Styela clava: one gene and its partners. The protein of the gene in region 1 purifies or fractionates together with the protein of each later gene. This does not show direct contact. Links are inferred from orthologs where the notes say so. Each region holds a gene or a part of one and is shown in the gene's direction. Other genes may lie near its edges.

What was found.
Region 2: the proteins of ribonuclease P protein subunit p30-like (region 1) and ribonuclease P protein subunit p29-like purify together in Homo sapiens (affinity purification with mass spectrometry; 4 studies listed by BioGRID and IntAct, counting the BioPlex papers as one, with this or other methods). This does not show direct contact. The link is inferred for Styela clava from reciprocal best matches to the Homo sapiens genes RPP30 and POP4.
Region 3: the proteins of ribonuclease P protein subunit p30-like (region 1) and ribonucleases P/MRP protein subunit POP1-like purify together in Homo sapiens (affinity purification with mass spectrometry; 5 studies listed by BioGRID and IntAct, counting the BioPlex papers as one, with this or other methods). This does not show direct contact. The link is inferred for Styela clava from reciprocal best matches to the Homo sapiens genes RPP30 and POP1.

What each region holds. Positions count from the first base shown.
Region 1 is NC_135258.1:7,655,806-7,659,690, forward strand, and holds ribonuclease P protein subunit p30-like, read left to right. Parts: upstream 1-1,566; coding exon 1,567-2,451; 3' UTR 2,452-2,566; downstream 2,567-3,885. Other genes in the region: uncharacterized protein LOC120339507, read left to right, coding at 1-374. UniProt on the Homo sapiens protein: Component of ribonuclease P, a ribonucleoprotein complex that generates mature tRNA molecules by cleaving their 5'-ends. Also a component of the MRP ribonuclease complex, which cleaves pre-rRNA sequences.
Region 2 is NC_135262.1:12,184,828-12,189,759, forward strand, and holds ribonuclease P protein subunit p29-like, read left to right. Parts: upstream 1-1,556; 5' UTR 1,557-1,650; coding exon 1,651-2,082; intron 2,083-2,389; coding exon 2,390-2,584; 3' UTR 2,585-3,441; downstream 3,442-4,932. Other genes in the region: large ribosomal subunit protein bL27m-like, read left to right, coding at 3,478-3,529, 3,611-3,721. UniProt on the Homo sapiens protein: Component of ribonuclease P, a ribonucleoprotein complex that generates mature tRNA molecules by cleaving their 5'-ends.
Region 3 is NC_135257.1:9,025,244-9,030,459, forward strand, and holds the start of ribonucleases P/MRP protein subunit POP1-like, read left to right. Parts: upstream 1-1,950; 5' UTR 1,951-2,090; intron 2,091-2,428; 5' UTR 2,429-2,453; coding exon 2,454-2,499; intron 2,500-2,837; coding exon 2,838-2,966; intron 2,967-3,498; coding exon 3,499-3,567; intron 3,568-4,340; coding exon 4,341-4,438; intron 4,439-5,216. UniProt on the Homo sapiens protein: Component of ribonuclease P, a ribonucleoprotein complex that generates mature tRNA molecules by cleaving their 5'-ends. Also a component of the MRP ribonuclease complex, which cleaves pre-rRNA sequences.

The sequences.
Region 1 (3,885 bases):
CGGCTGTGGTCTTGTCACAAGGGTCAGCTACATCAGCTGCAATTGAAGATGACAAAATATTAAGTAAACAGAGACTTCATGAACTTGTAAAAGACATTGATCCGAATGAACAACTAGATGATGATGTGGAAGAAATGTTGATGCAAATAACTGATGATTTTATAGAAAGTGTTGTTGCATCAGCATGTGACCTTGCTAGGCATAGAAACTCTAGTGTTTTGGAAGTCAAAGACATGAAATTCCATTTAGAAAATCATTGGAATATTGATGTTTTAGGATATGGTTCAGATGAAATAAAACCTTTTAAGAAAACAGTTTCCACAGAAGCTCATAAACAAAGATTGGCACTCATAAGAAAAGCGACTAAAAAGTGATCGCTTGTATTTTGTTTACATTCACAAGCTATTCTAATGTATATACAGTCAAGGATGGTCGATCATGTTGAAATCATAGTTGGACATGTTATATAAAGGTGACCAAAAAACATAATGCATAATATCTCTATTACTTATACGAAAATAGGGAAAATTTATTTATTACCCAAACTTCTGTTTGTGTATAATCAAAGTAGGTACTCCCGCAGTATGTGTACCAGGTTAGGGCTAGGCCATAATTTTATTCCGATTTTCCTTAATTTGGTTCTATTACAAGTTAAGGGACTGTCTGTGTTAGCCAAGTGAGTGCCCCCTGCCCATAGGTTTCAGTCTCTTCACACAACTTGATGTAAAATAGGCGAACAAAATTAGTTGCCTCTATATTTTGTTACACATACTCCTGGAGCGCCCAAAGTTTTAGTAATCTGTGATGCTTTGCACAAAAGTTGTGGTCTTTCTAGAATATGTTCTGAGTGACCTGGATTTTTTACCTCTAAGCCATTCACAATTTTCTAGGTGTGAATTACTGAATGATGATGAATAATGAATTTTTATGTTCAATAATACATCGTTTACTTTTCCACTAATTTATCATCAAAATGAATGAATGGTGTGAAAGTTGTGTTAGATAAATATTTTTTCACATATAGGAATGTACGGTTTTGCATTTCTTTATATTGAGGAAAGCTATTTGGAAGTGCCAACTCATACATATAACATTATAGGTTTTGAAATATCTTTACTATGAGTTGATAGGATTGTCTTGCGACATTATTGAATGCTCAAAATGGAACATTGAGACTAATATATAAAACACATTCTATAGAAATTCTTATGTTGATATTTACCAAAATATTTAGTTGAAGTGTTGGGATATGTATACATTATGTGAGAATACGGACTACCGAATTAAATGACAGATGCATAAAAATATGTTCAAATTGCACATTTGTGTAATGAGTGAAAAACAGTTACTTGGATAGAAAGTAGAAATTGATGTCTGGAAATAAGTTGCCATAGGGAGAATTCTGTTTATGTCCGTCATGGTTGTATCTTTTCTGTCTACCCCAGTAGTAACATCTCCAAGATTTCAATACTTGTTTGGATATGGCAAATCTTTTTAAAATATCAATGTTTTGATCCATGAGAATCCCATATTTCATTATTTGTTTCGATCATTGAAGTATAATGAATGATTTTTTGTTTTGTTTACAAGAGCCAGATATTACATTACATGAAAATCATAATGTCTCATTTACCAATACCACCAAAGGGTTGCTTCTATGATTTGAATGTGCCTTATGATGAAAATCAAAAACATATGGATTCTGTTTTGACTACATTTAAAGAGCTGGGTTATTCAGTTTTAGCATTTTCAAAATATATTCCATCAGGATCTTTGAAACGAGGTGGAAAAAAGAAAAGATTGCAACTTCCTACCCCACCAGACAAAGTAAATTTTGATGGAATAACGCAGTTATCGAGAATCACGATTGAACTGAGCGAAGTAGACGACCAGATTACTGTTCGAGATGTCATAACTCATGGGGGATTCGATATCATTGCGGTAGAACCAAAGACTGAAAAATTATTTCTTTCTGCATGTACCCAACTTAATATTGATATTATAACATTTGATGGTGCAGAAAAACTTTCATTCTTTCTAAGGACACACCAAGTTCGTGCAGCAATCGCACGCGGCATTCATTTTGAATTTAACTACTCACCAATGGTTCGTGACCCAACAATGCGAAAGCTAACAACCACATGTGCTCTGAGATTGGTTGAATGCTGCAAGTCAAAAAATATAATAATGTCGAGTAAATCTTTGCATCCACTGGAATTAAGGGGACCATATGACGTAGCAAATCTCGGAATTTTGTTTACAATGAAAGAGAGCATGGTGCCACATCTGGTGTCTCATAACTGTCGATGTGTCGTGGTTCACAGTTTTGCAAGGAAAACTGCCAAAGGTGCAGTTTTTATACAAAAAATTGAAAGTAGTGATTCTAATATGCTCAAAAGGCAAGCGGAAATTTGTGATGATGAAGCAAAGAAGGCTAAATTGGAATTATAATACTGAAAATATATTTAATTCAAATTTACAGTATCTGTTTTGGGGTATTATAAAGCTCCCTGTGTTACAGGTCAGACCTAGTCAAGCCGCAGTCTTATCCACTAGCAAGTACTGTCATGATGCTTCCAGACAAATTTGTATTGGCAGTTGTGAGCCAACAAAATACCATACGCATACGGCCGGTGATAAAAATAAGGAGATTCTGATTATTCGAAAAATTGCTTCGGGAAGGAAGTCACCCTGGGGGATGACTGTTTTTGGGAGGTCAAAATCTTATCTGACAATATGGAGCGATTGAAAAGCTTGAGGTTTTATCTAGCCAGCAGAGACCAATATAAAATTGAACATAACTAAATCTGCAGGAAAATTTTGCAGAAAGCGCTGTTAATTAATTGGTATTTATCGAATAAACTTTTTTGTCATGAATAAATAAAGTCTATAAATTCTGTCAGACTATCAGATCTCAAATACTTGATATTTGAAATTTTTCTCGAAATCTGGGAATTTCGTATGCATCCATTATAACAAATTCTATGAGTTTTGTTTTGGACACTCTCATTGGCTACCGAAATACAATTGCAACACAAATCAGTTTTGGACATCCCTATTTCCATAAACCCTATGTTCAAAAGACCCCAAGCACTCCTGAAATACAACTAGAATACAGTTAGACCATTGTATTATAATATTTTCACACAATTTTAAGGAAACATACAATAGCAACACCCACCTATTAATATATTCTACAAATCAGCAAAGCAAAATCTAAAAACATGAAAATCTGCACAGAAGGAAGTGCAAACTTCCAACAGACATTTCAATAACTTAAAGGAAGAGCATCACCCTTCACGAAGGAATTACAAATTAGATAATTTTAAATTTTCTGTGATGTGTTTCCAAATTTTTGTCCTATTTATCAAAAAGATAGATAATCATTATTAATTGCAATGTTGAATTAAATTTTTTGGCACAGAGAAAAATGGAGAGTCCGACATTCAAATTTTAAGTTTAACCATCAGAAGTGTAATCTACAGGCAAGATGGACTCATCCCGATTTCAACCTCCAGGCATGGCTACAAAAATTCTTGGAATGAAAATAAGTAACTCTATTTATCTTCTATCAGCAAACTATGTGTACACAAAACAGCCAACAGTAAAGTATATACACAGCTTCCTATTCTTACAAACGTTGACTGAAACATAAATGATATACATAAATCTGCAGCAGTTAAGGTTTTTACTATAGACAACTATACAACCTCATAAATAGTTGAATTGCCTATTTGGTTAGATTGTTTTTATAATATTGAACATCACAAAAACAATCTTTAGTTACTACATGTGACAAATAAGATATTGCAGTTATTTTTTTTGAACCAAGAGCCATAAGCTTTCGAGATAGAACAGGTCTGTAGATATTACTGGTCCGTCAAG
Region 2 (4,932 bases), on another chromosome or scaffold:
CAATTAAACTGAAACTTCTAGGAAGACGAAGTGATCATTAAATTATTTGATTTATATTTAAATGTCCAAAACACATCTGAAAACTAATGAACAAAATTCTGAAATGCGAAAATGAGGCATTGTTCACGACCACGCTTGGAAATCTGTTTGAGTGAGAAAAGCATCTGAGCGGATGCAAAAAGGGAGCATTGTTACGTCACTATTTGCATCTTGCTGATTGGCCAATGTCACGAAGTAAACAAGGAAATTGATGCTTGAGGAAACATCCATTGAATACCGAATGGACCTTCCCCCGAGCATCGACTTCCTTGTATACTTCGTGACATTGACCAATCAGCAAGCTGCAAAACGTGACGTAACAATGCTCCCTTTTCGCATCTGCTCGGACACTGTTCTCACTCGAACAGATTTTTGAGCGTGGTCGTAAACATTACCTCGTTTTCGCGTTTTTGAACTATATTCGTTAGTTTTTAGTTGTGTTTCGGAAACTTAAATATAAATCAGATGAACAGATTGTTGTATGCAAACACATACCCCATTTTACAGGCGCCAACTCGCAAAAGCACTCCTAAAATAGCCCCGAAAATTTTGCAATGGTGAAGTATAGGAAAAAATTTGCGGGTGTCAAAGGTCGAGAAAAGGCCCATTAACTAACAGGAATTATTAGATGTGTACCGACTACCGGTATAAAAGTATTCCTCGAAAGATATCGTCAAGCTGATTATAGTCAGAGTCACCTAATGCCAAATTGCCCAATCAGAATTGTCAAGTTGGATGAATGAAAATGTGGATAGACCTAGTTCACTCTATAGTAGTGATATGATAGCATAAAAGTCATATTGGGGATGGCTAAATAGGTTGATGGGTGTCAAATTAGGAATGACAAAATACTGAAATAGGGTCGATGAGTCAAAATCTCAATGGTTGCAAAAGGGATGGCGAACTACGTTCGATGCGTTTCAAAATAGAGATGGCAAAATGCGGGTAGCCCAAACTGCTGGCAGATGCATGGACTTTGCAGCTTTGGTATGCAGAAAGACGTACCGGTACCGTACGGTTTTGTAGTTGAACTGTGAACGAACAACCCATACCGGTACCGGTACCAGTAGTTTTGCACTTTCACTAAATTTTATCGCTTCAGTTGTAACCTTTCAAGAATTTAGAGACATACGGTAGGCTACTCGTACCGTTATTATTTCCTTGTTAGACTTGCTTAAGGGTGCCGCTGCTCAATAACCAAATTTGGTTTCTTGTGGCTCCCCTCACCCTGAAATGCCTTTTTATTTATTTATTGCAATTTGTATATCAAGTGTGCATTTAGTATGGTGAGAAAATAAACTACTGATTACCGTGGGTTTACCGGTAATGCTATAATAAAATAGAGCTGTAGAGAGTGAAATGTCAATAGCAACAAAATATTTGGGCTGTTATCAGGACGAGAGGCTACGGTGTTGGTTATATGATAAAGTCGTCTCATCGGTTTTTCTCTCTGAATTTTAACTTCTAGCTTTCTTTATCACGATCTTTGTTCCTGGAAAGACATCATGATTATTGCTTTTTTGTGCAGCAGTAGGTAGCCTAGTTCAGGAAATTTGTATTTTACAATTTGGGTCTCTTATATTGCAGTGTGTTGATATTTAAACCTTAAACATGTCTCGGCAAGGAACATATTCATATGTGGAAGCATTTATTCAAAAAACTATTCCTAAAATAAAAGAGCGAGATTTGAAAACTTTGAAGTCATCTTTGAGAAACAAGCCTATTATGTTGGTAGGAGAACAAAAGAGAGCTAAAAAGAGAAAACGTGAAAAACAGAATAAGAGAAGAATAAAGAATCGCATATTGGCGAAACCTACAAATTCAAACTATCAAGATTATGAAAAACTGCGTATTTTATGGATGGAATACATCACAGATTTACTCTCGGATTATCAGACATTAAAACCAGGAGAAACCAAACCATCTTTGGATAACAAAAACGCACAGGAAGTTTTGTTGAAAGCAGATTATCATGGAGCAGATCTGTCTGTGACAGGTTCACCTTGTAAATCTCATTTGGGTTTGAGTGGAACAGTCCTTCAGGTGTGCCAATATATCTGTATTATTAACCTTTTTTATTAACTCATTTTGTCCTTGTTTTGAAGTGCACTGGCACAATATGTGATTTCATCATATATCAATGGTATTTACAGATTCAATACTAATTGGTGATTGCACTCTACACATGCAACTTTTGACCTCATAATATATAGAATAAATTATTATGTTTCCTGATTATGATAACTGGATGACTTGGTAATTCGTTCAAAGGATTGTTCAGTGTGTTAAATATGCATACCAATATTTCCGTTTTTTTATTAAATTAAGTTATTTTATCTCATTTTTTCAGGAAACAAAAAACATATTTTTGATCTGCACCAAGGAGAACAAATTAGTGAGAATTCCCAAGAACAAGACTATATTCACATTGGAATATTCTGGATATCTTATAACAATATTCGGATCACAATTTTGCTTCAAGCCATCTCATAGACTCATGAAAAGATTTACGAAAAATCCACGCTTAAAAGAACTTTTGCGATGATATAACTTTTTTGCAATGCAGTTAAACTAAAATTGTTAAAGATCGGAGTTTAATGCTAAGTGATTTGTATTTCATCAAAAGCGTAATTTGTCTTCTGTTGCTTAGCAACCATCTTTTCAAAAATGTGGAAGGATATTAGTTATTAATTGCAGCACATAATTGTTAATTTCACTCAGTGTTGCATATAGATATCTTTATATCGTTTTAATGTTAAGGCCTTTTCAATTCACAATAGGTTCTCCAATACTGCTTCTCCATCTTCGAGGCTAGATAAATCTTTGTCACCGATCACCGCATATATGATTAGTTTTAATACGGGAAAATTGTGAACAAAGTGTATCAACAAAGTGACTCGCACAGACCATTTATTTTTACACAATTTTATGCGAACTCAATTATTATTAACACCCTACTTGGCCTACTAGACGTCGTTCTGTTAACTTATTCCATACTTCACTGCCTTAAATGGACCTTAGTTACTGCCTCTGGTTCAGAGGCTTATTAATAGGTAATCAACGTAGTGCAATCTTCACAGGAAATAGGTTTGTTTAAAAACAATACTACAGTATAAATTCTGAATGAATAACCATTTACAGTCTTTGCGATTAATTAAAACTCTGGAAATACAACACTCTCCCATTCAAGAACCATCGACATTCGACACCTGTGTATTTCTATTTATATCATTGAAATTTATATGGTGTTCGTTCAACTCTTACATTTTACTCAAAGAGAAAACAAGTGAAATATTATTTTGTAAGACGTGGTAACTAAATATAAGGACAATGAACTGGCAACTTGCATTTACTGACATTGCCACCCTCTCACATCCAACTCTATTATCATTTTTCTTGTAGTTTAGTGTTACTATATTAAATATGAATATATAGATCATGGAATGCATCAGAAGGTTAACAAGGGTGAAACTCCATCAATTCTCAGCTTGTAAGTCAAAATTTTTCTCGAGAATTTGTTTCAATCATTCAATTTTCAAATACAGGCATTTATCGAAAGTATATTTTTCAGCACCAACATTAAAAATCCCAAGTTGCTGTGCATCGACTGGTGGTAAAAGTAACACAAGGAATAAGAAACAAATAAATAGGAAAAGATATAGAGGAATTAAAGTTGACGATGGTGGGTTCTTGTAGAGATTAACCTTTTTTCATTCCAAATTTCTACTCCCCCTTTTGAGATGTTGGGCAATTCCAGCGTTACTTTCGTTACATCTGAGCAAATTTTCAAATTTCAAACTGACTTAACCTAAAACGTATTAGAAGTATGCAAGTCACATTGTTACTAGTTGTAGATGGCGTTAGGGGTGTAACATAGACACCATAGAGGTGGCGATACTATGGACTACTTTAACATAGGAATGTCCCGAAACACCGTTACTTGCGTTACAGAAAGAGGACAAATGAGATAAGATATTAACACCAACTAACTACTTTTTGCCATGTCACTAGAGAATATAGTTCAATTGTAAAACCATAAAAAATTAGGTGAAAAACTTTTGTCTGAATAGCAAAATTTTCATTAGGAAGAAAAAATGGTCCGTTACTTACGTTACAAATTACAATCATGATTCGATTTTTGTTTTGATGGCAAATTTGATATTAAGTCAATATTTGACATTCAATTTCCGTGAGTTCAAATTTTTAAATAATAAATCCTTGACTAGATGATAAATTCTACAAATAAAATAGGCAATTCAAATTTCCAGCGTTACTTTCGTTACATCTGGGCAAATTTTTAAATTCAGACTGATTTAACCTAAAGCCAATTACAAGCATTCAAGTAATAGTGTTTCTAGTTGTATATGGCCTTGGACCTGTAACATAGACACCATAGATATGGAAATACTAGGGACTACTTTCACATAGAAGACCCATTAAAACTGATACTTGTTTTGAAAATGAACAGAAGCTTTTTAGTGGAATTTTGATGTGGCACATATCTCAAGATATTGTCACCAATCAACAGCTTTTTCCCATGTCAATGGAGAATATATTTAGGTTGTAAAATATTATAAAATTAGGTGAATATTGTTGCTTTACATCAAAGTAAATGACTAACATCTTCCCAAAAATACCATCAATCTCAAAATTATCTTCAACTATGGCAATTCCGATATTCATTACCTCTTTAAAGTGTGCTATTCTTATGGCAAAAGGTGGGATTGATCGGTAAATGTTTGTATTTACCGGGGTAAATGAAAACTAAATATCCAAAACCATTATATTTCATGGTTAAGACCATTTTGATTTATTAAATTTTGATTTCTCTTGTTTCGTTACTTGCGTTACACAATTTGACATTGAATATTGAAAATATATATACAACCATGA
Region 3 (5,216 bases), on another chromosome or scaffold:
GAAATGGGAATCAATATCATAGATTGAATTTGTTCGAAGTAGGCCATGAGACAAGTTCTATTTCATTATAATTAAACTAAATTTTGTTCTGGACTCTGGTGCAGAAAATATTTGAAACAGAATCAAATTTAATCTAGGCTATTCTATACGTTCACTCACACTGCAATGAGTGTTAAGGGTTATAGGCGGCCATATTATAATCGTTGTTGAATTATTGAAGGCGTGTTGATGAAGCTAGTTGAGAATATGAAGTATTCAATATTTGACTGGTGAACAATTTGTTTTGAATGCCAATTACCTATGGACATTTCCATTTCCAGATTAATTGTGTGATGTATATTGTCTTCCGCCAAGTAATATATACATTTGCCCCCTTACCTGTCTCTTGCTGCTTGAAAAAGACAATATATAGCCAATCACTTTGTCACAGGCTTTTTATCACTCTGGTGTGTGAAATACTGTAATTGGAGACTGAAGTTTATGGTTTTGAATTGGTTGTCATAAATTATTCAACCATGGTCAGTGAGAGTTGTGCAAACCAGTAATCTTAATCCTGTGAAGCTAATATACTTAATACCTATTTAACTATTAGGTATTACTTAATGTTAATATCCATTAATTTGACTAGTATGCAAAATAGTTTATAACAGGGTTGTACTTTCAAGATGCAGACGGATTGCTACATACTTTTATATATGCATTCCAAAATAACTTGTCTGGATAATAATAACATATTAAATTGCCTAATATACATATTTATGTATAGGTAATTGACGAGGTTTGACGTTACCCAATTGATATTGTTGAATTTTAATTGTTTGAGTTTGTAATGAACAAGTATCCGTAATGTTTAACTGATGTATCTCTATCAAGCAGGCACAGTAAAAACATAGACTGTTTCTTCTATATTCTTCCCATAGGTACTATCCTTCAAGCAGCTCCTATAAATTATTATTTTGTTAAAATTGAAGTACTATTTTTACTTAAATTTGGATGCCTCCTATTAACAAATAAATTTTTTGCCGAGTTTTTGAGAAATGAGTTCCATGGTGAATGTTGGAAAATTCTTAGTTGCTCCATTTCTATTTATGCTGTTTATATAACTGATATTACTTTACACTTTGTAATAAAATGTTGCTACAAACTTCAATCATTTTTGTTGCCACAGCAAAGCATGGATGATTATGAATATTGAAGTGAAATTACAATTTCCAGCTATTTGATATAATCTTGTTATTTGATTTGAAAACATTATCAAGTACCGGTAGTTATGTTTGCAATAATAAAAAAAAAAATATAATTGATCTGAAATTCAACCTGTATTATGAAGTCTATGATCATGCTCCATTTGTAAAAACTAGACTTTCAAATGTGAACACATATTCTGTACCTGGATTTCTCAAAGGGATATTTTTATGACGTGTTGTCTAGCAAGGCATGGTCTAGCCATCTCTAAGATATTTAGAACCAGCCATTCTTTAGTCAGCTATTTTTCAGTAACATATTGGCACAATAGAACCTAATTAGCTTATGGGTTGTTAATGAAACCCCATTTTTGTAATTTGCATATCTGTACAGCCAAACCTTATAAAGGACATAAGGCACTACCTAAAATCAAAACTAAATCGGGTTCAGTTTTGAAACCTAGACCAGAAGATGGTCACTGGTCCAAGATGACGGAAATTCAAAAAAAGTACACTTCTGAAAAATGACTTTGGTTTTACTATGATGGTATGATTATTAATTAGGTTATTAATGATGTAATATGAGTGAAACAGATTTAGATTGCTCGTGAACTTTTATTTCGTATCAAATTGAACAAAATGCGTAGTGAAACGGGTATCATAGATAGTTCTTAGTCCTATCATTTTGCTCGATCCTTATTTCGAATTTCACAGTAGCTAATTTTTTTGTGCTTGAATGTATTATGTATGATTCTTTCTTGTTTTTATAAAGGTTAGAGCACTATACTAAAATTGATAATTAGGTTTTCGGAAACTCCTTTTTTGATCATGTTTTACATACCGGTACTTGCTATTTTATTCAAGACTCATCGATAATTCAAAGGAAAAATTTTACATGGTGAAACGGTAAGTAATATTTTCAAATTTACATGACATTTCTGAATAATAGCTGCAAAAAACATCCAAATGTTTAAATTTACTGAAGTATGAAACACTTTTCATGTTCTAAATTGACGATTTGGTGCTGTGGCTTAGTCGTTATAAACACACCATATGTTATAAACACTTCTCTATACCCATTTCCTGACTATAAAATTTTTGATAATAGCCTCAATAATGTCTTGGATCAAGAACGGTTCTTTTTCTTCGGATCCGTAGCTACATTTCTGTATTTTGAACTTTCTTTTCTGGTAGAATATCTTTGCTTAATAATTGATATTTAAACCAGTCATCTTTTCTTTCAGTTCATTAAACTCGTAGGATTGAAAAATGGAGGCAAAACAGAGTAATAGCAAAGCTGCTAGTATATCTCAAAGTAAGAAGCTAGTTAACATGATTCTATGGTAGTGTGAGATTATCTACCTAACTACGATGTTCTTGAACTTTATAATTAGAATTAATATGAGAGGTTACATCAGGATATCATTTTCAATGAGTTATTCTAATTCTTTTAAATACCTCATCAGTCATCTGCTGCAATGGTTTAATATAAAATTTCAACCTTAATTAATATCATAAAACTCACAGCTAAAAGGTAATTCAACTCAGCTTGACTTGACGATGAGCAGCATGATCGACAAACTGCCAAACATTTTCAATTTCATTGGTTGTTTCGTACTTGCTTTTGAATATTTTGACCAAATTTTTCAACAGATGCATCTGCCAAAGTCGGTAAAGCTGGTTCTGAGCAGCAACAAGATTCTGTTACTAATCGTATCGTTCGCTGGAAGAAACGAATGAGATATCAGCCACAGAATGTGGTAGTCAACAAGAAGAAAGATTGTATGTTGTCTAGAAATTAAATATAACTTGAGATACTGATAAGTTGTTAAATTTGTTAAATCAATTTGTTTTTCGAATTCTCAATTTTTTTCTGGACAACCTTTATCAGATATCAACAAATTTGCCGGTTTTCATTATTTTTGCTAAATCCTGTAAAATTTCTCCAAACCTAGATGAGAGAAAGCACTTCATAGTTCATAGAATTTAATATGTCATATTTGGCAAAAATTATGCAGAGACTTTTGTTGATTATATGCAGTCAAAAACAACTGAACAACCAGGGTTATGGAGTCTTCTTTAGGTTACCAAAACTTTCCAGCTCCTGACTCCTGATAACAAAATTTGAAATAAAAAACTTTAGCGTATGCAATCATTTAAGTTCGATTTGAATTTTTTTTTTTTATTTCCGACCACAGTACTTGTACCAAATACTAAATCTGACTATACATGTCATGGGTATAAAATTTTGTATACTAATAAAATTACATAAATCATCAAAGCATAATTTCATTTTTTACCAATCATTTTTCAGCTTCTCGTCATGAATATTACAAAGATATGGTTGATTCGGAATCACAAAGCCAAGTTGAAATTCCTAGAGGTAATATTCAATATTCATGTACAATGTATAGAAGCAGTTCATGTCTTTTTAGGTATTTGCACAGCAGCATCTCACTAGTGTTTATGTCCACTAGGTACAAAATTTCACAAAAAAAGAAGAATTTGATCGGAACCTTGGTTCTTTGCTCCGCAAATAGTTTAGTTTCTTCAGTCATCCTCATCCATTCACACATGCAATATTCGTTTGAAAGTTTCGTTCTTCAACTTACCGAATTTATTGATTCGGCCAATTTTAGTTGGGTGATTAAATTAAAACAAAATCTAGCCATGGATGAGATTACTACTGAATTTTCTGAAATTTTGTTTTAAAATCCATTTCAATATTGGATATTTGAACCTCCATATGTAGCAGCAATGGTAATGTTTTTTTTAATTTCATTTTGTAAAATGGGAAAAAATGACATAAAAATAATTTATAATAATAATTGAGATTATATACCAATTTTAGTTATCCTCATTATTTTAAACTGAAAAATTTTGATCTTACTGTATTTGGTATCGTTTGCTTTTATGGCCATCAACTGGATTTGACTTCTGGTTGAATGACTTGACAATTCTTATGGTAGTTACTAATTTTTTTAACTGGTTCGCCACATCAAAATTTTATATTCAACATCAAATTGCAATATTGATAATCAAGAATCAAGATGATTTAGGCTTTACAATTTTCTCATGAATCCCCCTTTTTTTTTAAATACCTATCACACTTCTACAGGTGATAAGTGTCAATTCTTATTTCTTGATATATTTTAGCCATCTGTGTGGCTGACAAAGTAGAATCATCTGCCAAAGAAATGAAAGCGATGCTACAGGCGGTATCACAGCACACAAGTGATAGAGCTGTCCTACAGGTAAATAACAGGATAATCATTTCCCTTAATTGTTTATTAATACTGAATGAAATCAAAGTATAGAGCAGGGGTCGGGAACCCATGGCTCGCGAGCCATATATGGCTCTTTTGGTGACGGCATATGGCTCCCAGAAAAATCTATTATTCTAAGATTAAGCTTACTATTGTTACTAGACTTCAAACTATTTTATGGCCAAATTTGGCAAAAAATTCCCAATACGTTTGACAACGCGGGCCCAGCGCATGTCTATGTTATGTAAGAAAATTACCAGACAGACATTGTGACAAAACATGGGGATTCTGGAACATATATTGTGACATCACAAAGCGATAGAGTTTTAAAATACTACGGAGATGCCTAAACGAAAAAGGGTGATGAGTATCGTAGATTTCAACTTGGGCTGCATGTGAGCAACCGTTCAAGGCCCGCAGCGACAACATGCAGCATCAGAAGTCACATTAAATGTATATTGACATGGAATGTGTTGACTTTTGAGTAAACGTTTCAGGCCTGATTAAGTGAAGAAATGTTATATGGCTCGCACGGAAATGCAATTGGAAATATGTATATTTTAAGGCTCTCTTGACCAAAAAGGTTCCCGACCCCTGGCATAGAGGATCATTAGGATGTATCAGTGCTTCAGAGGTCTAAAAGGAATGAAAGAGGAATAAAAAATATAGAAAATTGGAGAATAGTAAAACTGTTGTTGTAATTCTGATAACTATAACTGTTGATCGAAGCAAGGATTGATGTCCAGATTCCCCACCTTATGCCTAA